2 linked regions of the Styela clava genome follow. The protein of the gene in region 1 interacts with the protein of each later gene in a pairwise test. Links are inferred from orthologs where the notes say so. Each region holds a gene or a part of one and is shown on either strand. Other genes may lie near its edges.

Region 1 (10,906 bases):
AAATAGCTCGGAAAGATTCCTATAGACATAGAAGTGTTGAATAACCTACATAGAATTGGGCTAATAATAGTCTTCAACAGTTTGATCATGTAAGTGGGGACATGATCATGGCCCTCAGCCTTTCCGCTTAAAAGAGAATCAATAGGTATTGCAATCTCAGAAGGAGTGGTATCATCTAGGAACATTTGTTAGGTGGATTTAGGTACCTAAAAAACTCGTACCTAATACCTAATACCTAAAAAACCTAAAAAACTCGGAAGCGAGAGAAGGTCCGATTTGGGAAAAATACTTATTGAAAGATTACAAATGTTATCGTTAGCATTTAGCATAGTAGTCATGTTTGGCCCTATTTTTAATGTGAGACAGAGTATTAGAATACTTTTTATACAGACGCTTTTCAACATCAGAGCCATTTAAAAATAACGATTTGTGCAATTTATCTCGAATTTTGGCGGAGCGTAACATACCTGGGGTGATCCAGGGTTTTTGCATTAACCGGCGATCTTTCCTACTCAATTTTTTGAGTGGGGCGTGTTTATTAATTAAATATTCAATTTTGTTGATAAATTCATCAAATAGTGTGTTATAATTATCAACTCCAATTTGTGGGGGCAAAATCCCACTATTAAACACAGTTTGAGCTTCATTTAAAAATATTTCGGGGTTGAAATGCTTCATATCTCGCTTCATGTCTGTAACATGCTTGGGAAGCGTATGATGCAAATCAGTTTGGCAAAATATAGGGAAGTGATCAGTCAAGCAATCAACTAGCACAATTGGTCTCATAGTTTTATAAGTTTTCATAGTTTTATAATAATGACGTTTGTTTATTATCCCCTTCAGTTTGTTGCAATACCCTTGTACGTGTTCTGTTGTGACAGATAACCTAATAAATAGCACTTTTTGAGCATTTTGTTCTTGAAGGATACACGAAGACCTTTGCCCAACCATGTTTTTTTCTTCGTTTTCAGCTCTTTTCTCGATAACATCTTCATACGGGCATGTCTGTCAATTATGAAATCATTACATAATGCGTCAAAGTGCTTTTTATTGGGTATGGGTACTATTGCAGAAGACCAGCTAGAAAAAATTGGTGAACATCCCCTCGAAAAGTGTCGACGCAAAAATGTTTCATATCTAGTTTACCATATAGTTATAGAGATTCTTTACGATTGTGGATAGATATGCTAGAATATACCTTTGGAAAGTGGTCTGTAATGGAGCGGGATATGATAAAAGCATATATATGAGCAATTAATGTGCAAGATGAGCTCGAAACCCTGATAGGTTGCGAGATGCAGTAAAAACAGTTACGCTATAGACCCCCCTCCAAGATACACGTATGACTGATGCATATGCGACAGCGTGCTTATGGAGCGTTATACCGTTATGACTCGGACATGACGTATTAATGTAATATATACTGATCCGAGGAATATTGCACTCTGATCCGTTCAACAACAAAAGAAAAAAAACTTTTATTTTTCATCAGTCTTATCGGTTTCATCATATTAATCCCTCTGTAGTTGATCGACGCCTCAAACAAAATAAATTTACATTACAATGACAAAGTCGTCGGTAACTTGGAACCGGGCTCAAAATCTTGCTGTGCATCACCTGGAAAAGATCTCAGCCGCCCATGCGTTGCGCGTATCGTGACCACCTGCAGAGTCGCAACAAGTTCATATCTTACTGGATGTCGATGCAAATCCCTAGAATATTATACTGATCCTGACTGTTATAACCTTTTATGCAGCATGCAGAACAGAAAAAGCACGCGTGCCGATTTTTAGGTTTCTGAATCTTGCGAGATTTGACGGAGAGCTTTTGCGATGAATCGGAAGCGAAAAGTGTGATTACTCGGCGCCAAGACGTCGCCGGACCATTAATGCCGCACTTATCGAACAGCAATATGACGGCGGAAGAGAAATTGCGTGATAACCCGACGCAACTTCGTCTTAGGAAAAGTGATTGAGAAGACAGAAAAACAACAGAACAACGTAATTGCAGCGGTTGGGAGCTGGTAATTAGCGGATATTTACTCGAGGTATAGGGATGTTTTATTTTCACGCGAACTGAAAACTCAAATACATTGCGCCAACACATACTATTTTGTTCATATATATATACCAAAAAGGATGTTTTATTATCAAATTAAAATTACTAAGCTGATATGGTACGACAGAACGTACGGATCTTTACAGGGGTAAATATACATAACGTAGCTCGACAAGGACTCGACAAAATGACGTGAACTCAAATCAGAGTCAAAAAAATTCGTGGATCCGAACTGAATCCAAGTCCCGTCCATCCCCTGACCTATACTCATCCAAAAACTGTGAATATTATGCAATACTACAGTGAATATGCAGGTAACTGATTTAGATTATCGTATATATCGCTCCCCCTAGTCTTTACCGACAAATATTGTGTCCGTTCATTGTATTTTTGCCTCCATTAAATTCATTTACATCTTTTTTTTTGGCTGACAGATTAATAAAGCTATATATATTTATTTGAACCTAAATTAATAACCGCGTTGGAGTGCAAGCCCTTGATAATTGTCATATTTCTCTGAATCTTCCCAGACTAGAGAGAGGACCTCCAGAAGTATGTGCACCAAGATGGCGCACAACCTGAACATAGTAGTTGTACCAGGTTAGGGTTCAGGTTGCGCGTCATCTTGATGCACATACTTCGGGAGCGCCCAATATATATATATAAATACAACATACACAGAGATTATAGACTAAATCGTCAGTTCTCAATCTTTCAGTGTCATGAGCCCGTGAATAGGCTGACTATTATTTACGGAACCCATAATAAGTTTATAAAAAAATTAGGTACTCCCCAAGTATGTGAACCAAGGTGGCGGACACCGGAACGTAGTACCAGGTTAGGCCATAATTTCAGCTACCAATACCACAGGAGTCACTTGGCTAGTCCCAGAACTCGTAATAGAACTAAAACAGGAGAGCTATAGTGAAATATATGAAAACGTAGCGCCACATAATTTTGATGACATCATAGCAAAAAATAAAAGTAATAGCCTTCTGGAGAAAAATTTCATCTTTAACCACTGAAAATTTCAAAGCAATTGGTCCAGTAATCAAAGAGAAAAGCGATTTCTTCAAAACGATACAAAGAACAAGAACAACAAATCGATCGCTATTATTCACTACGTGCCCAATAAGGAAAATTGGAATCAAATTATAGCCTGACCCTAACCTGGTGCACATGCTACGTTCCGGTGTCCGCCATCTTGGTTCACATACTACGGGATCGCCAAAAATTGTTACTTACCGATTAATGTTCCTTAGTAAATAAATAAAAAATACCTTATTCAATGACTGGAATGTATTTGCTGCTTTGTAAGTAAAATAAAATTCTTGGGCGTATGAGAGAGAGAGATTTTATTATTTCGTCAACCAAAAAATGCGCAGGAGGGAGCGATACGACCACACGGTAAGCTTCCACCATATGCGCTGTTGTGGTTATATTAACAATGGAAAATGACTAGTGGAAAAACTTGAACTAGTGCGATAATATTTTTACAAGTTTCTAAAACCAAATTGGGAGATTCTAAGTAACAAATCTTAAATAAAATTTAGAATTTTGAGAACATATGTTTGTAAAGGGGGGAGGTGATACGACCATAACACTTCGCGTGGCTTATCCGAATCACTACTTACAGTATTGACTTTCGAATTGCTTACTCACACACGATTATCCACGATGCTATACCTGAGTGATAACGTATTTATACCAAATGCATATGGGTCAGGACTCAGGAGTGTCTGTGATCTAACTGGTATCGCGTACTCACGTTCACAAATAATACCCAACCAATTATTATTGAGTTTTTTGCTATTTATTAATTGAAGGTGCCATAGTGCTGACTTTGTTTGTGATAATAAATATTTCTTTCTGGCGACAGAAAACCTGTAACCATTGTCTGATTGTGCAGGATTTCAAAATATTATTGTGAACGTTCAGGGCCTAGTTATTAATACAGTCCCACCACTATTTTGTCAGTGTGTGCTATCATACCAACACTTCAAGGGCTGTTTAGAATCTGAACCGATTCATTTTGGCCAGCAACAAATAGGCCAAAAAACGTGTGAAACAATTTTTGTACGAACTTTTTTTTACTCTGCAAACGCGGATCAATACTACAATAGGAAGCGTAATAGCTCACCTCCAAAGTTTGTACCGATATATTCTAATGGCTGGCACACTTGAAGTTTTACTGCGAAGACGGTTAATTACCAAACCATTTTTGTATGAGAAATTCACGAAGTTGTAGAGGATGCACAGGCCACAGTGAGCACACACCAGGGTTGCCAGATCCCAGCGATCAAAAAAGGCTAAATCAAGACACAAAAAAAGCCAGAAAAAGCCAACAATTTTACCAAGTACAAAAGCCCCATGATTAGTCAGATTTTAAGTCCTTGGCAACGTACTGATGATGATGTAAAGCCATCATGTCATTCAGTGAGGCACACAAATAGAAAGTAAAGTTCCTATAGAACGGTAGAAGGTGAAATAAATATCAAGTGGACAGAATTATTTTACCATTCAATATACAAGACAGGGTGCCGCTTCAGCATGTAACATACCTACATGTTTCTACTTAAACTTGCAATATACCTTAAAAAATTCTCCCTATATTGTATCTTACTATAGAAAAAATTTAACTTTTAAATTTATAAATCATCAATTTTATTAAAAAATTATCTAACGCCGTGCCGCTCACAGGTGGACCACTGATATCTAATTCATTAATTTTAGCGTAGTTAATCACAACGTTCGTGAGACTAAATTTTGATTACTACAATTGCAGAATTAAACTAAAGCTCACATAAACCATATCAGGCATAATGAAAATTGAGTTATACAATTACTTTTTGGAAACAGAGCCAAAAACTGACAAATAACACGCAAAACTATAAAAACCAGGCAATGTTTACAACCCCGCTTGAACATCTGTCTGAGCAGCTGCAGAAACTGCAATTATTTCTTATTGGGTAGGGTTAAGAGTTAATGTAAACACACATAAAACTCACCATATAGTAGAACAGAGTATTTGGTCAATGTAAACACATATAAAACTCACCATATAGTAGAACAGAGAATTTGGTTGTATTAAGACATGAGTATAGTATTTGGTACAGAGTAACAACACTATTGGAGTATTTGGTTGTATTAAGTTCGTCGATTCTCAATCCCAATTCGCCTGAATAAATAGAACTAATGTTCTGCAACGGGATTTGATTTGGAGGGGCTACTTGACCGGAATTACAATTGGAATTTACTAACTTGGATAAAAGTCGAGAGAGAGAGAGAGAGTTTATTTCATTTTGTCAAACCAAGAAAACAATTTATGCACACATAAACAAATATCAAAAATATAGTTTTCGGTATATGACTGGGGGGGCAACGATACGACCTTTGGGGGTCATCAGAGTCAGTTGCCACCCAATTATATTAAATAAGCATAAAAATAACAGGTTCGTGTCAATATACGACAATACATTTCGTGTCAATATTCGGTCGAGCTGATAACATAACTCTTGAAGGCGTACGACAAACATCTTTTCATGCCGGCATGTCATTCTGTATTTACTGTTGGTTTGTATCGCCTAATATCAAGATAAACAAAGCCCATCCACCAGAATTAAAAGTATTTGGATAAAAGATTGGATTTAAAGTTGAATTGTGGACGATCTGTTATGGGTGTTTTGCGAGGATTGGGTCATTTGATGAATCTAGTTGTGGATGATGGAACAGAGCTCAGAAAATACTGCACCTGTTGAAATGATGGTTGTGCGTGGAAATTCGATATTAATGTTGCAACCGATTTAACAATCTTTTCAAGACATTTAAATTTGGCATATATATGCAGATATTCCGTATAGGATTGTATAAATTATTATTACTGTAGCTTGAGTGCTTCAAAAGTAAAACAGCCCGAAGGTTTAATACATTCGCGTATCTTTTGTTTCTTTATTTCTGGCCCAACCCTTGTTTAACTAGGTTTGTGTTTTTTGTCATTTTTTTTTTGTGTGTGCTGGTGGGCGGGCACTTGATATTTTTCATGTTTTAAACTTTTTTAAAGGTTTTGCTCGTTCTCCAGAATTCCCCAATTATATTTTGTGTGTATTATGGAGTTTTCAAAATAAAATCTATCTATCTATCTAATGTAACAAACAAGGGAATCGATGCTCCGGGAAAGCCTGATGTTAAGTAGCTAAGTACAGGTAATAGACTATTGTTCAGTTGTTGAACACTAAATATTGTATTTCATATGATTTTTATAATAGACACTAGAATAGACTTAAAAAAAAGCCAAAAAAAACGCCAAAAAGCCAAACGGAAATTCTGACGCCAAACGCGTTTGAAAAAAGCCAAAAATGGCAAATTTGGCGTTAAAAAGCCAATATGGCAACCCTGGCACACACAGTGACAGCGACTGAAACTTTACGCGATAGTCAAGTTTTTGACTACCCACAATTCCGCGTACATCCGGGGCTTCGCGATTCGAAGCCGCCCGTTTTTGTCAGCTGTTTATTTACCGAGCCGCCATTTCTCGCAGAGTTCGTGTGATTTTTTTTCGTGAAGGCATCTGTGGCCAGCGCTGATTTTGAGAATAGAGCGGTTGAGGCGAATCAAGGAGGCAAATCTTCATTACCGCTGCACTGCATCAATATTACTTCAGTACTTGATTAGTCAGATTCTTTCAAAGACCGGAAATAATTTACGACGACGACAAAACAGATTAACTTTTACAAGTAAGGTTCGCCCTTAATTTTTCTTTTCTCGTGTTCATGTAGGCCTATGCTTCTCGTGAATTTATTATTTTCTGTAAGATTGTCGTGATGTGTTTTTTCACTTGTGTAAGTGTTGGTGAATGGGCACAAATAAACTTTTTCTAGGTTTTGGCCATTCTTCCTGCAGTCCTGTCGTCTGTGTTTCTTATTTTATTATTGTTGTTTTGTTTCTATCAGAGCGACCAAGTAAAATTGATTAATTTTGGTCATTCTTCCAATCTTTTCGTCCTGTTGTCTGTGTTCCTTATTTTATTATTGGTTTTCTGTGTTGTAGACTGAAAAAAATATAGCCTAGTCTGCTAAGCATGAAACTTAAGTCCTGTTTGTAATTATCGTACTGCCTGTCGTATGATACCGGTACCATTGCACAGACTTGGCAATTCCGGTTTATATAAAGACACCATTCTAGCAGTCAAGTGTAATATTTCTCTATAAATGGATAAATCCAATGTCCATACGCCACTCACTGATGACCAAAACAGCTACAGAACTAATTCAGTAATTACAAAATTTTCTGGTTGTGAAATTTTTTTTACTTATTTAGGATGACAAATATTTATTGAAAGGGAAAAAGTCATTTACTTTCTAACAAATTTCAAGGCACCTATTTCAATAATCTGATAATTTATACCTGATTAAATTAAAGAATAAACTTTACCATTCGTCTCGTCATGTGCTATTAATCTTGTTTGACTGGAAGGCAAGCATCATCAAAAACTTAGGATTCCGTAGCTTGTTACCGGTATGATTCCAACATAAAGGTTAAGTTGCACCTGTGGCTGCCGTTCCACAGTTCCATGGAGTGAAAGCTGGTTGAGGTTGCTGCTTTTCTCTTTAGTCTGGAGTTCGTGAACTGTCTGCCATTATATGTAAAAATGTTTTGTAAATTATTCCTGACTTGTACTATCTATTCATTTCCTTAGCCAGTCCCACTAATCCGGCTGTAACTTCGATTTATATGATTGTGTGTTGTGCCAGGTCCCATTTTTAATATGCCTTCCAACCTTGGCAAGAACAGTTGACTTATATGTCTCTATCATTAAATGTGGATGTGTTTCAGAGTTGGGGAACATTGGCAGTAATGACTGTGCCAGAAATGGGACGAACCAGACGCTATCGGAGTGGTGACAGAGATAGTGGCTCCCAAAGCTATCATTCAACTAAACGAAGGAGACTTGATGATTATAACTCGTATGATTATACTTATAATTCAAACAGGTGATTTTTTTATTTGCACTTTTCAGACCATTTTTTCCACTAATAACATTGGCTGAAATAATTCATCAGGGCCTTTTGTGTTTTCAGCCGGGATCTGAGTCGAAAGCATCAATGCAGTCGTAATGGTCCATACTACAGTAGAGATAACAGTCAGATGAACTATCACAAACGATACAAGCATATTACCCGAAGAGATTCTGACAGTGATAACAGTAGGAGACGGCATAGAAATAGACACCGGAGACATAGGTCTAAATCTCCATCTGGCTTGGTGAGTGTAATTGATGTGATCTTGTATCTTTTTCCTTCGATACATTATATTAGGACCTGATGAGTTGGGAAAGCTAGATGATTTAAATAAGGCGATAGATTGGATGGAAGTTTAATTCATGGTGTTAATTGTAATACATCTTTCTAAGCATCAGTGAAATTTTATCTTGGCTTTACAGGTAAGTTTTTTTATTAGAAAAAAACAACAATGTGTTAGATCCCGATTTCATTTTTAAGTGTAGTGTCTGAAGTGAATTGGCGGCTAGTTAAGATTTTCAATAAGTTGATAATGATACAAAAAATGTTTAAATTTGGCCATAATGGTGCCCTTAGAAAATGTTCACATGAGCAACTTGGTAGTGATAACAATATGACATGTAGTGCAATTGCTTAATTATTTCGATTCTATGAGATTTCTAATGATACTGAAGTAGTACATAAATATTATACCAGGGCACCATACATTATATAATTGTGTGTGCATCTTGCCCTAGAGTTGTACTCTGTGCAAGATGTTTATTTTTGTTTATTCCTGACAAATTTCTCATGTGGTTCCTGGTTATATTCCACATATCGCATATGTACCAATGATGGCATTGATTGATACACACCCTGTCCAACAACACACTTTCACTTATGAACGTCACTGGTGCTTTGACCTCGTGCATCTTGGCGTGACAGTCTCAGAAAGAGCTACATAGAAACAAGAATGGCAGGGCAAAGAGTGTTCAGGATGACGAAGAAGGTCACCTTATCTATCGGCATGGCGACTGGCTGCAAGCGAGATGTACTTAATAAGAGAAGATTTATAAATTAGTTATAAATTATGCTGTGGGAATTTTTTTGTCCACATGTTTTTTGCATGTGATATGTATTGTCTTCCAAATTGCTCACTAGCCCTATTAGATTATTTTTTTATTGTAACTGTCCTACTGTCCCATATCAGGTTTTTCGGTCATTCACTAATTAGGCAAGCTGAATGTTCTTATGACTTTCGTGCTTATAAGCAATATTATTTTTCTTAGGTTTAAACGTGCATTGTTCACAATTTTCATGATAGCCTTTTTGTTGTAAACCGATTGTGACTTGTTCACGCTGTGAAAGTTGTATACAATGCATAATATCATATATCTGTCCAGTATTTAGGTGTATCAATGTCATAGGCCTAAAGGAGCTATCACTACCATTTTAATTGGGACTAATTTTCCGTTCTTCATTTAACAGACGAAATCCTCTCCACTCTAGGAGAAGGCACATTTGGAAAAGTTTTACACTGTAAGGATCATAGCAGGTAAAGACTTAATTTGGTCAATTCTTTTTTTCAATAGATTTATGGAGTACTCTTATTGTGTGTCGTTCAGAAACCTTGCATCATGCTTTCACGAATTCTATTTCGTAAATTTTCATGTAGATGGCATCTTAATGTATACTGATCAAGGTCTCTGGAGATGAATGGATTTCCTAATTCCATCTTGAATATGCCGAAACTAGTAACAATGTCCCATGAAAATGTTGCATAATGTGCCACCATATTTTTTTATGGTATGAATGAATTTCTGGTGTATACATGATTGCCTTTGACTTGACTCAGAGGCATGTTTATTCCAAACTATATTACCTTTCCTTGAGGTAATCCTCATAAAAGTGTTTCATTTTCCAGAAATGGACAGCACATTGCTCTAAAAGTTATCAAAAATATAGAAAAGTACAAAGAAGCTGCATATATGGAGGTCAACGTTTTGAAAAAAATACAGGAAAAAGATCCGAATGGAAAATAGTGAGTTTGATTCATACATGGGCAATTCTGAATGCTGTATGATCAACGAAATGACAAGATTATAGCATGATATTGGTCGTTTTGGAGCATTTTTTTCAGTCTAAACTTCAAACAGATTTTATTTCTTTCGAATTTAATAAGGCTACACAGCGTTGGTAAATATTGGCTGCTGGTTGGGTCATATTCAATCTCTGCAAGATCGGTGTTGCCGAAAAACACTGCTTAAAGTTGCCATATGCTGTAAAATCTTCAAGGTGGTCAAAAATCTGAATCTGTTTTTCATCAATCTGCTCTCCCAATAATTATAATTCATTATAACAATTCTGAATTTCATTTCTCGGTGTATCATTCACTATCTTGTGTATGATGCTATTCCTAATTTGTCATATCAGTGCTTGAAGATTACATCAATTTTTTGCAATTCATCACAATTTTGCATTAAAAAAAATTCCGGACTTCAACTAAACCACTGTAAATAAGAATAGAATGGGATTCTGGATTCGGTTTATTCTAGGAAATGAATTACATTGAATTTCCCAACCCTAAAAATAATGCCTATATTGAAAAGGTGGAGCTCCAGGAGTGTGTGTACCAATATGGATGTAACTAATTTTGTTCGCCTACTTTATATCAAGTTGTGTGAAGGGACTGAAACCCATGGGCAGGGGGTATATTCGCTTGGCTAAAACATACTGTCCCTGAACTCGTAATAGAACTAAAATAGGAAAGTCAGAATAAAATTAGGGCGTTACCCAAACCTGGTAAACACACTGCGGGAGTACCTAAAGAGTTATTTAAGATCATGCTTCAT
Region 2 (10,219 bases), on another chromosome or scaffold:
GTTATAACGGCTCGTTTACGAATTGTTGCGCCTGTTATCGTCGAAAATGATTACATTTGTTGTATTTTGAGGCATTTAAGCAGTAATAATTAGGGCATGACATCATCAAAATCGTCAAGTGGGATCTTGAAATTGCAATTCCGTAAATAAAATTGCGAATTATTCGGTAACGAATTCAGCTTTAATGACCGTCGGGGTATTGTTTTGTTGAAAATTATTATTAATTTGAGAGCGCCAAAAACATACAGTCCATACCGATGCGACTGCAATTTATATGGTCGCAATTGGTGTGGCGCGTTTATTGATAGTGTAAAATAAATTAAACGAATATCAATTATAACCAAGCCTGTCATCGTGTTTATTTTCTGTGGGCAGGAATCGTAAAATACCATCTTGAGACAAATTCACTTCTATTATAAAATCTTAATTTTCAGTTATTATCGTTATACAAATAACGTGTGGCAACTTTTTAATTTATCGTCGATCAAAAAACCACCCCACACTCGTCCAAACGTGTGTTGAGCTTGAACGACAGGAACAGATTCATCGAGGACCTTAATTAGGGAAAATATGTATTTTATCGGGAATGCAAAATAAATGTAACAAAACGCATTTTTTGTGATATAACTTTGTATTTTCGGAAACGGGTTGCCGTGAAAGGTAAAATTTGATCTAAATTAATTTCAAAAATGTTTTATTTTAAATGTAACAAAACACATTTGCGATATAACGTTGTATTTTCGAAAACGGGTGTCCTGAAAAGTAAAATATGATCTAAATTGATCGCAAAAATGTTTTATTTTAAATGTAACAAAACACATTTTCGCGATATAACCTTGTATTTTCGGAAACCGGTGTCGTGAAAAGCAAAATATGATCTAAATTAATCGCAAAAATGTTTTATTTTAAATGTAACAAAACACATTTTTCGAGATACAACTGTATTTTCGGATACGGGTGTCATGGAGAGTAAAATTTGATCTGAATTCACCGTAAATAATGTTTCATTCCAAATGTATCATAACGCATTTTTTTGCGATATAACTTTGTATTTTCGAAAACGGGGCGTCACGAAAATTATTAATTTAATGTTTTATCTATCGTCTAACTAACGTCTGGAACACATCATTTTCGGGGAGAACTCTAGCCCGCAAAACGTCATTTAATTTAAAATAGAGAATGTTTCACGCATTTCAAAACGGAAAATCACCAGTAAGTGGACAGGGATTAAACCCTCCGGATTCAGTATTCTATATCCCCCGTGTCAGAACTTTCTGAAGAATGGAACAAAGAACCCGTCAAACCGCCTAATAATTAGGGCGTGACAATATCAAAATCGTCAAGAAACTGGTGAATTTGCAAATTCCATAAATAAAATTGTGAATTGCTCGGTAACATTTTAGCTATAATTATCGCCGGGGTATTGTTTTGTTGAAAACAGGTTGAAACTTGAGGGAATTAGTTACAATTAGCGCCTGACCTCTATTAGGCACTCGAGCACTCGAAAAAAAAAGCACTCGAGCCCAATCTTTTTAGCATTAAGTCGCATACGTAAAATATCCTGTAAAAGAAGTGCTGTTCATTAACGTCATCTCGCCTTATGACCACGCAGAAATGCTTTTATTGCCGAATTATTCAATCACTATTTCAAATCAACATTCAGGATAGGCACAAAACCTGGATATCGCCGCCAAAACGATCGGTGGGTGACAAGAACAATTAGCGATTACAACGGAATTAACCAGTAAAAAGGCTTTGTTGCCGATTTTTTAATGTTTCCACCACGTTTATTCGGTACTCCTTAAAAATATTCGATTTAAAAAAATATTGAATTTTGCCCACCCCTCCTCGCATATCAATGAGAAATAGTTGTGTAATTATCGCCAAATTCCGGAAAATGCCACGTCCTTTCAACATTGTAATTACAATAAAATGGCACTTAATGGTATTTTGTGAATTTGTTGATTTTGCAAATCTGTGACATGCTGCTAAAAGTTTCGTCTGATTTGAAAATCGTGCAGTTTGGTCACAATTCATCCAAAGTGACTAAAACAGTTACTAACACTTTTTATAGTCATTTTGAATTCATCGATATCATTGATAGTCACATGACATGACCACTCTCGTTCAAAGAAACGCCCCGGGAGCGTTTTTTGCGGGAGAAGCGGAATCCGTGTGCTTGTATAATAATCATATTATAAACAAGAATTTTGCCGTTAATGCAAAAGCTTTATCTCCTATGTCTGCATCTCATAGGTTAGAATTCCGGTAAATATCGTTATGATATGCAGAATTGAGTTACAAAAGTACCAGTATGTTACTTATTTGTCAACTTAATACTCGAAAATATTTGTTAACTTTGAATTTTTATTCCCTTTCAAAATCGGAAAAAAGTGCTATTTCTCTTCAAAATCGGAAAAAAGTGCTATTTCGCAGTCCCTAAAAAAAGTTGCGAAAGTGCTTCGCAATTTTCGCAAAAAAGTGCGCTAATAGTGAACACTGATCCTAAGTGATTCAAGAGTCTTGCTGCACACTAACACAAATATATTTCTGTAACGTTTCGTCTGACCACGGTCAAACTTCCTCAGACATACATATTTCAACTCCGAGGAAGTCTGAGGAAGTTTGACCGTGGTCAGACGAAACGTTACAAAAATATATTTGTGTTAGTGTGCAGCAAGACTATTTATTGAATTACTCAGGATAGTTATCTTCACTCTTGCTACAGCATCCTTGCATTATATGCATACGGATCCACCGACGCAAAAGCATAGAAAACGGAAAAGTAGTTGGTCTTGTAGAAACCCAATCGATAAAAAAAGAAACTGTTCTTAAAATTTTCCTACAACTGAGCATGGCTTTCATTTGGACTTACTTGAAATCCTCTGTCTTTATAAATTCCACAATAATATCTTTGTCTGGTTGAATCTGAAGCATTTTCAAAATCAAACATAAGAAAGGTGTTGGTTTGATATTTCCTCCATAAACTCCACCAATGTACTTAAGTTCCATTGCCTTGTCTACAAGCAGCTCGGCTAAAAATAAAAATGTGATTATTCATCACAATCAATAAAAAATTAGTAGACTAGATATGAATGTAAAAGAAATTCAGACATCGGGATGTATAAGACCTGCAATATGTTAAACACGATTGCACGAAATGCAACCCTGAATATACAACGAGAATATCGGTTGAAAACCGAAGACTTATCGATCGATAGTTAGGGGATCCCCCAAAACAGAAACTGCAGTTTCGATTCATCCGCTCTTGTAACTTGCGCACTGCGCATCGCACACACACACTCGGCGGGTTTCGAAATTCTCTCGCTTTAAAAAATCTAGATCACTATATCAATAATTGATTGATAACTCGCTAATTATACGACATAATTCGCCCAAAATCAATAGGCTTCTGGTCCGAGATAAGATGAATGCACATGCAAAATCTGGAGCAGATTCAACCTCGCTTTCGTGAGATATCGCGTGCATCTAACAGACACACAGACAGACATACATACAGACAAATACCTATCAATATACTTACCGATCTTAAGATCGATAAGTAATGACTGTTAACTGCCAAACAACAATTGTAATATATACCATAAGTGATATAGACCAAACAATATTCCAACAAACCAAGTTGGGACAAATAAGGAGACAACGCATGATAATGAAAATTGGAAGGCTGCGTAGGGATAAATTTAAGCATGTTCATATGATTTTGAACAAACATTCATGCTGGGGATGGGCCTTTATAAATATCTGATGATTAAAGAATAGAGTCATACATTTTTTCCAGTAGAATCGATTAAAGTTTGATACTTAAACGCTGTAATTATTTGTGACTTTTCATTGTAATAGCTCATCCAGACATATAAACTCTTGAATGCTACCTAAAATTTTCCTATCCAGCCTTCTATAAATAGAATTATTTTTTCCGAAGAATCTAATGGTGTCGTTTTCTGATTCGTTTTACAGGTTTAGTTTATTGCACTGTGCTAGTTTGTGCTGATATACCGTAAAGGCCCAAATTACCTCGTAAAGGTGTGGTTTGCAATCACTGTTATAATTGAGGTTCTTTATTAATGTCAGCATGAGGGGAATTTGAGAACTGCTCAAATTTACAAATAACCCTGTTTCAAACCCACAGATTACAATATTACTGTATTAAATGATACAGTACGGTACCGGTATCAATCAACCATAAATGAACTCCCAGACCAGGAAATCGTTCTGGTATTAATTTACCTGTAAGAGCAAAGCATTCTTCTTTCCAATACTTGCTGTCATAAATACGCGATCTTATAATCTTTTCCACCAAATACTGCGGATTTGTTCCTTTCACAGTAACCGCATCTTTCACTGTGCGATTCGCCATATCTTATAAAACTGCGGGAAAAACGAGAAATCAACCCGAAAACTGTTGATTTATCGTGATAGTACCTCACGCTTTTTAACACAGTTGACGAAAACCAGCAACCTTGATCTTTAGCCCCGACTAACGGATATGAAATTTCAAAAGTTTGTAACTGGTTGGCTTGAATAAAAAAAAATTTAATGATTGTAATTTCAGTGGTTTCAGTGTTATTGTCTCTAAAAGGATAATGCATATATCTATTTCAAAAATTTATGTAAGTTTTTTGTGGTGACGTCATTAAAAACAGATTGCGTGCCGTGTGACGGCTTCGCGATCGCCTTTCAGCGAAGTCAGTATTTTTTGACAGGGAAGACTTCCTTTACCCTATTGCAATAGATTAGATACTTCGTTTTGATTACATTCAATCTATAGTAATTCGTGATTTGGTCCAACAATCCCAACAGAAGACGTGATTCATTGATGCATGTTAGCGAATGGAGCCGGCTTTCCGGGATGAGAAGGTGCGTCAATATTTCATCGCCAATTTCTATATTTATGGAAACGGCGGCTAGATCGATATAATGGTTTACTCTGAACTACAGCAGAGCAATACGCTGCAAAACTCATCGCAGTGAATGACATATTGGGCCGAATATAGTTAGTGGGTAGGCCTAGACATGGGAGTTCAGATAGGTAAGGGGTTGGGTTTAGAGTTTAGACAGTGGGAGGTCAGGTACGGTTAGTGGACGTGGGAGATCATACAGAGCTAGTGGGTGGCATTGGACATATGGAGATAAGTTGGGGTTTGACATTTAACAATTCGTTAGAAAATGGTATTAAAAGTGGAAAGTCAGGAGCTACCCACTGAGAAGATCGGGTGGGGAAGAGGATGTGATGAAGAATTCAGGAATGCTTAAAGAAATGGGTCGTTTTTTTCAATCTTCATAAAGATTAGTATCAATATTGGATAAGCGTATAGATCCCTACCCTCATTCATAAACATCATTTAGGAAGATCGAACAAACAAACAAAAGTAAAACATATTTATTGAAGTTACAGACAGTTTTAATGAATGTTCACTTCATCTCGATGATCAGAGTTTCTTGTCTTGCAAGTCCATACGAGTTCAATGGTCGTTTTGGGTTTAAACATGAAAGCTAAAAATAATAGGACAAATCAATATCGTTTTTATATCAAATCATACGTGTTCATAAATTCGATGAACTAAATTGGAAATATTACCAATATAAAAATATTAATAGAAACTTTTGCCCGTAGTGGGGAGATATTAAGTTATCTAAAGGCCGGCCGCACACAGCCACAATATATTTATTGCGATGCAATATATTTTTAGAACTCCCATTGTTTATTGAAAACCCGCACCCATTTTAGACTTCATTGTTTCGAGAATTTATCCAATATTTTGAGTGAATTTTTTTTCGAGCAATAGATCATGTTCTACTTTTTATTGCTAGCGCGCGATAATTGCCTTGTGGGGGAAACTCACTCAGACAAATATTTTATTTTTATCATGCAAGAATCAATGCAAAACTTCCGCTCTGCCTGCGTTGTTCAGCTGTTTGCGTGATCTTGTTGACGGTTGTGTAGCGTAAACGAATGATGAGCTATTTGACTGAATTCGCTCCACTAAACGATGTCTCAAATTGACTAATCTTTTTTGCATAATACAATGGTATTCCCCTTATTTAAAGCATCATTTTAAGAAAATGGACGAAGGTGGTTTATATTGGATTAACTGGAGTCAATCCAGAGTCAGAGTCTCACGCCTCGCTGTAGCATCATTGCTAAATATGTACACAGTAACAAAAATTGGCATCACTTGTCAGTCACATTCAGTTCAATCAACGTTAATTACTTGAGCAACCCATGTCACGAATTTTCGCCAATAATAGCTCATTTCGGGTCCATTTTTGTATGGTCATTTCATTTTTTCACTCGTCAACTATTAGGCCGTAAAATTTCATTCATATCTTTATAGAATTAAATGCTAACGTTCTATTTTGGGGGATTACGCTAAAAACCTATTTCAGCCCCAAATTCTACGCATGAAAACTGATAGTCCGGTAATTAAAAAAAAAACGTTTTTTTTTAATGTTTGGTTAGTATATATAGACTAGACAGAGAGTTTAGAGCTGATTTAATTATCTCTAGTCCTAACGTTTACTTGTATAATTTCCCAACAAAACAATACTAACACCATTATTATTGATAAGAGTATCGGCATGTTTCGATATTTACTAATATCGAAAAGTTTCATAATACTACTCATTCTAAGCTTTAAATGTCACCTCGCGCCGCGGGCACACTGATATAATTCTGTAATTCTTCAACGAAAATCCTTCGGAAATGATGAAATTCAATAAATCTTGCAGTTTATCCGACCTAGCAAATTTTCTGCTTAAAAATCCTTCTCCGGTAGGTTTTCGTAGTCGAATTTGAATGACCTGAAAACATACAAAGCAACAATGTGGCGCACCGTGCTAAGCGTTAGGAATACAATCGCCACGCACCTTTGATTACCCTGCGTGGGTTGGCAGGTTCGAATCCTACGTGGGGATAGTTATGTGCAAGAGGATTGCTGTACTCCTCGCCGTTTCAGGGTGGTTTACTTAACCGCTGGTCGGTTATGGCTTCCATCACCATCAAGTCCATGCACCTAAAAAAATGACTAACTAATCCAAAACCCGACATGGACTGGTAATCGGACGAGAGCCCGTGGTTCGCCATATGATTAAACCGTTTTATCGGCTTTTCTTTTCCCCAGGATAATTAATTATGCAAATCCTATCCTATATTATACCGGTTTTACGGAATCAGTTTCTTATTTATAAAAATGGCGACTTTTTGTTTCCTTCCACATATTCCTATTTTCAATCGTAAACGGTTTTTACTGACTTTGTTTAAATTAAACACTTATGACATTCGGAATTTTATTTTCACAAGTACGCACTGTTTGGAAATGGAAGAGCTATAAAAAAGACTATTATTTTCGCGAAATCTTAACATTTGTCGAATGCTTGTGAAAGTGTTTTTTATATGACGATAAAAGTTAAACTTTATGAAAACCTTTTTGAATTGTTAATTCAACTAACCACACATGAGTCATCTAGAGAGTGATAGTAACATTATAGACTTCATTATTCAAACAATCTCAGCAGAGCTTACATTTCTTGAATGGTTTGGCTCCTTTCTCAAAGATGATTTCATTTTTGAAGATTCCGCTTTTAGTTTTCTTTGTTCTTTTATTTCGAGTTCTCTTAATTTATTCGCGTTCACTTTGTTCATTTTCTTTAATCTTGATTCTTCTTCTCGCTTTTTAGCCTGTACATTTAGATTTTTGGTGACGGCATATTTCACTAAACTATTTCTAAATTTGAATAAACTACATATATATATTATCTATTTTAAACGCATACATTATTTGATCGGGGTGTGCAAGCACCGCTAATGGGTGCGAGAACGCTGAATTGTCAAGTTAAGGTTGAAGGCGCTCCAAAAGTGTGTGTACTAATATAGAGGTAACTAATTTTGTTTGCCTACTTTACATCAATTTGTGTAGAGGGACTAAAACCTATGGGAGGAGGCTAACACAGACAGTCCCCGAACTCGTAATAAAACTGAAATATGAAAAATTGGAATAAAATTATGGCCTAATCTGGTACACACACTACGGAAGTACCTGAAAAAATGAACATAACAATCAAAGATATATATCACAGTTATGTGTACACACTTATGTAGTAACCTATCGCAATCAGAAAATAATGCAATGTTCGTGTTAATTACAATTTATGAAAACTATTTCCACAGCAATTCTACAAAATGTGTTGGAGAACCGGTTAGTTAGTATTAAGAACTACCGTCTCAACCTTAGAAAATAGCCTAAAATACGTTGTCAATTCTACAAAATGTGTGGGAGAACCGGTTAGAAAAGAAAAAGGTTTGAGAACTACCGTTTCAACCTTAGAAAATAGCCTAAAATACGTTGTCAATTCTACAAAATGCGTGGGAGAACCGGTTAGAAAAGAAAAAGGTTTAAGAACTACCGTTTCAACCTTAGAAAATAGCCTAAAATACGTTGTCAATTCTACAAAATGTGTGGGAGAACCGGTTAGAAAAGAAAAAGGTTTAAGAACTACCGTTTCAACCTTAGAAAATAGCCTAAAATACGTTGTCAATTCTACAAAATGCGTGGGAGAACCGGTTAGAAAAGAAAAAGGTTTAAGAACTACCGTCTCAACTTTAGAAAATAGCCTAAAATACGTTGTCAATTCTACAAAATGCGTGGGAGAACCGGTTAGAAAGAAAAAAGGTTTAAGAACTACCGTCTCAACCTTAGAAAATAGCCTAAATTACGTTGTGACCTGGTGAAGTCTGATTTTTGTCAGAAGAAACTTACAGAAATACATTTGTGTTAGTGTGCAGCGGGACTTTTGAATTGCATAGTATATATAATATTATACAGGGTGTTCATAAAGTTCTCTTACAATTTCAATTTTGTTTTGAAGTCAGTTCTCAATATATTTTAACCAAGTTTTTTGATCAGTAATTGTTTAAGTATATTTACTTCCTTTAATACATCTGTGAGGGCCAAAACAATATATGGTATCGATAAATTTCTTTTGCAATTTTTAAAATTATTAGGACATTATGGACACCCTATATATATCAGAACTTGCTTAGTATGCGAGTAAATAAATGAGGTTAACTAATATATTACTAGTGTATTATTAACTATCGCAATTTTATACTTTCTCTTGGTCTGCTCTTAAAGATTCTTCGAATTCTCTTTTCTGTTGCTCTAGTATGCTATTCCGTATGGCTCTCTGTTTCTGGAATAATTCAAGGAAAAATATATCAAATCGACACAAAAAAACGATGCTCAAAATATCGTTTTATAGGTATGGTAAGATCTCAGCTGAGAACCGAGTTTGTTGAAGAAATCGGACAAGTGTGAAGGAGGCAAACAAGCGCGACAAAATAAAGTGTTCCTAAATTACATAAAAAAGAGTTTCTATGAATTAAAATATACGGCAAGATTTTGTGAGATATCGGCTCCCTTGTATAAATGGAAAAGAGTAAATATAATGATCCTTCTAGCGGCTTCAATAATCTTCATTGTCCGTTGCAGACAATGCAGAGAAAGGCATTTTTCCCCCAAATAACAGCGACCACCACGAGGACAGAAAGAATTTAGTAAAATAATCCAGGCCCGCTTCGTGTCCAACAAAGAATTAGAAAAATAACGTAAAGATGAAGACAAAAAACAAATGATTATCGCAAAAAAGAAATTTAATCTGCAGCCATGCTTACATCATTCTCTTTGACAATTTTTCTCGCTTGTTCTGCGAATAACACTTGTTCAGACAAAGCTGCAACAAATTCTTCTGTGTTTGTGTTACCTGTCGTAAATACGAGTGTGAGAATAAACTGAAATCTGTCACAACATTGGTCGTTCATAATCTAAGACGTAGTATGTCCCGATTTTTGGTGAAAGAACAGGCATTCGCACGAAATAATGTATGTGCTGGGAATATACGACTTGGAGTTGCGGTGAAATGCTATTTGAAACATTTCACGTCTAACGCTTTTTAACAGTAACGCTTTTTAACGCTAGTCGTTAAACGTTTAAACAGCATTTTGTCGTAACTTCAATACTGTTAAAAAACATCAGTCGATAAATGTTTAAATAGCATTTTGTCGTAACTCTAACACTGTTAAAAAGCTTAGACGTAAATTGTTTCATTTTATTAGTTTTTCACAGTAACTTATATAGCATTTTTCCGTAACTTTAACAATGTTAATATCCGTTAACATCCCAGAAACCCTGGTAAAGTA

The links.
Region 2: the proteins of dual specificity protein kinase CLK2-like (region 1) and pre-mRNA-splicing factor 38A-like interact in binary tests that used the Homo sapiens proteins (3 or more experiments, as listed by UniProt). The link is inferred for Styela clava from reciprocal best matches to the Homo sapiens genes CLK2 and PRPF38A.

What each region holds. Positions count from the first base shown.
Region 1 is NC_135257.1:9,744,277-9,755,182, reverse strand, and holds the start of dual specificity protein kinase CLK2-like, read left to right. Parts: upstream 1-6,551; 5' UTR 6,552-6,796; intron 6,797-7,890; 5' UTR 7,891-7,911; coding exon 7,912-8,048; intron 8,049-8,135; coding exon 8,136-8,319; intron 8,320-8,999; coding exon 9,000-9,105; intron 9,106-9,542; coding exon 9,543-9,609; intron 9,610-9,978; coding exon 9,979-10,095; intron 10,096-10,906. UniProt on the Homo sapiens protein: Dual specificity kinase acting on both serine/threonine and tyrosine-containing substrates. Phosphorylates serine- and arginine-rich (SR) proteins of the spliceosomal complex.
Region 2 is NC_135260.1:5,476,795-5,487,013, reverse strand, and holds the start of pre-mRNA-splicing factor 38A-like, read right to left. Parts: upstream 4,503-10,219; 5' UTR 4,382-4,502; coding exon 4,252-4,381; intron 3,036-4,251; coding exon 2,876-3,035; intron 1-2,875. Other genes in the region: FAS-associated factor 1-like, read right to left, coding at 5,437-5,517, 6,670-6,825, 7,547-7,702, 9,133-9,213, 9,695-9,783. UniProt on the Homo sapiens protein: Involved in pre-mRNA splicing as a component of the spliceosome.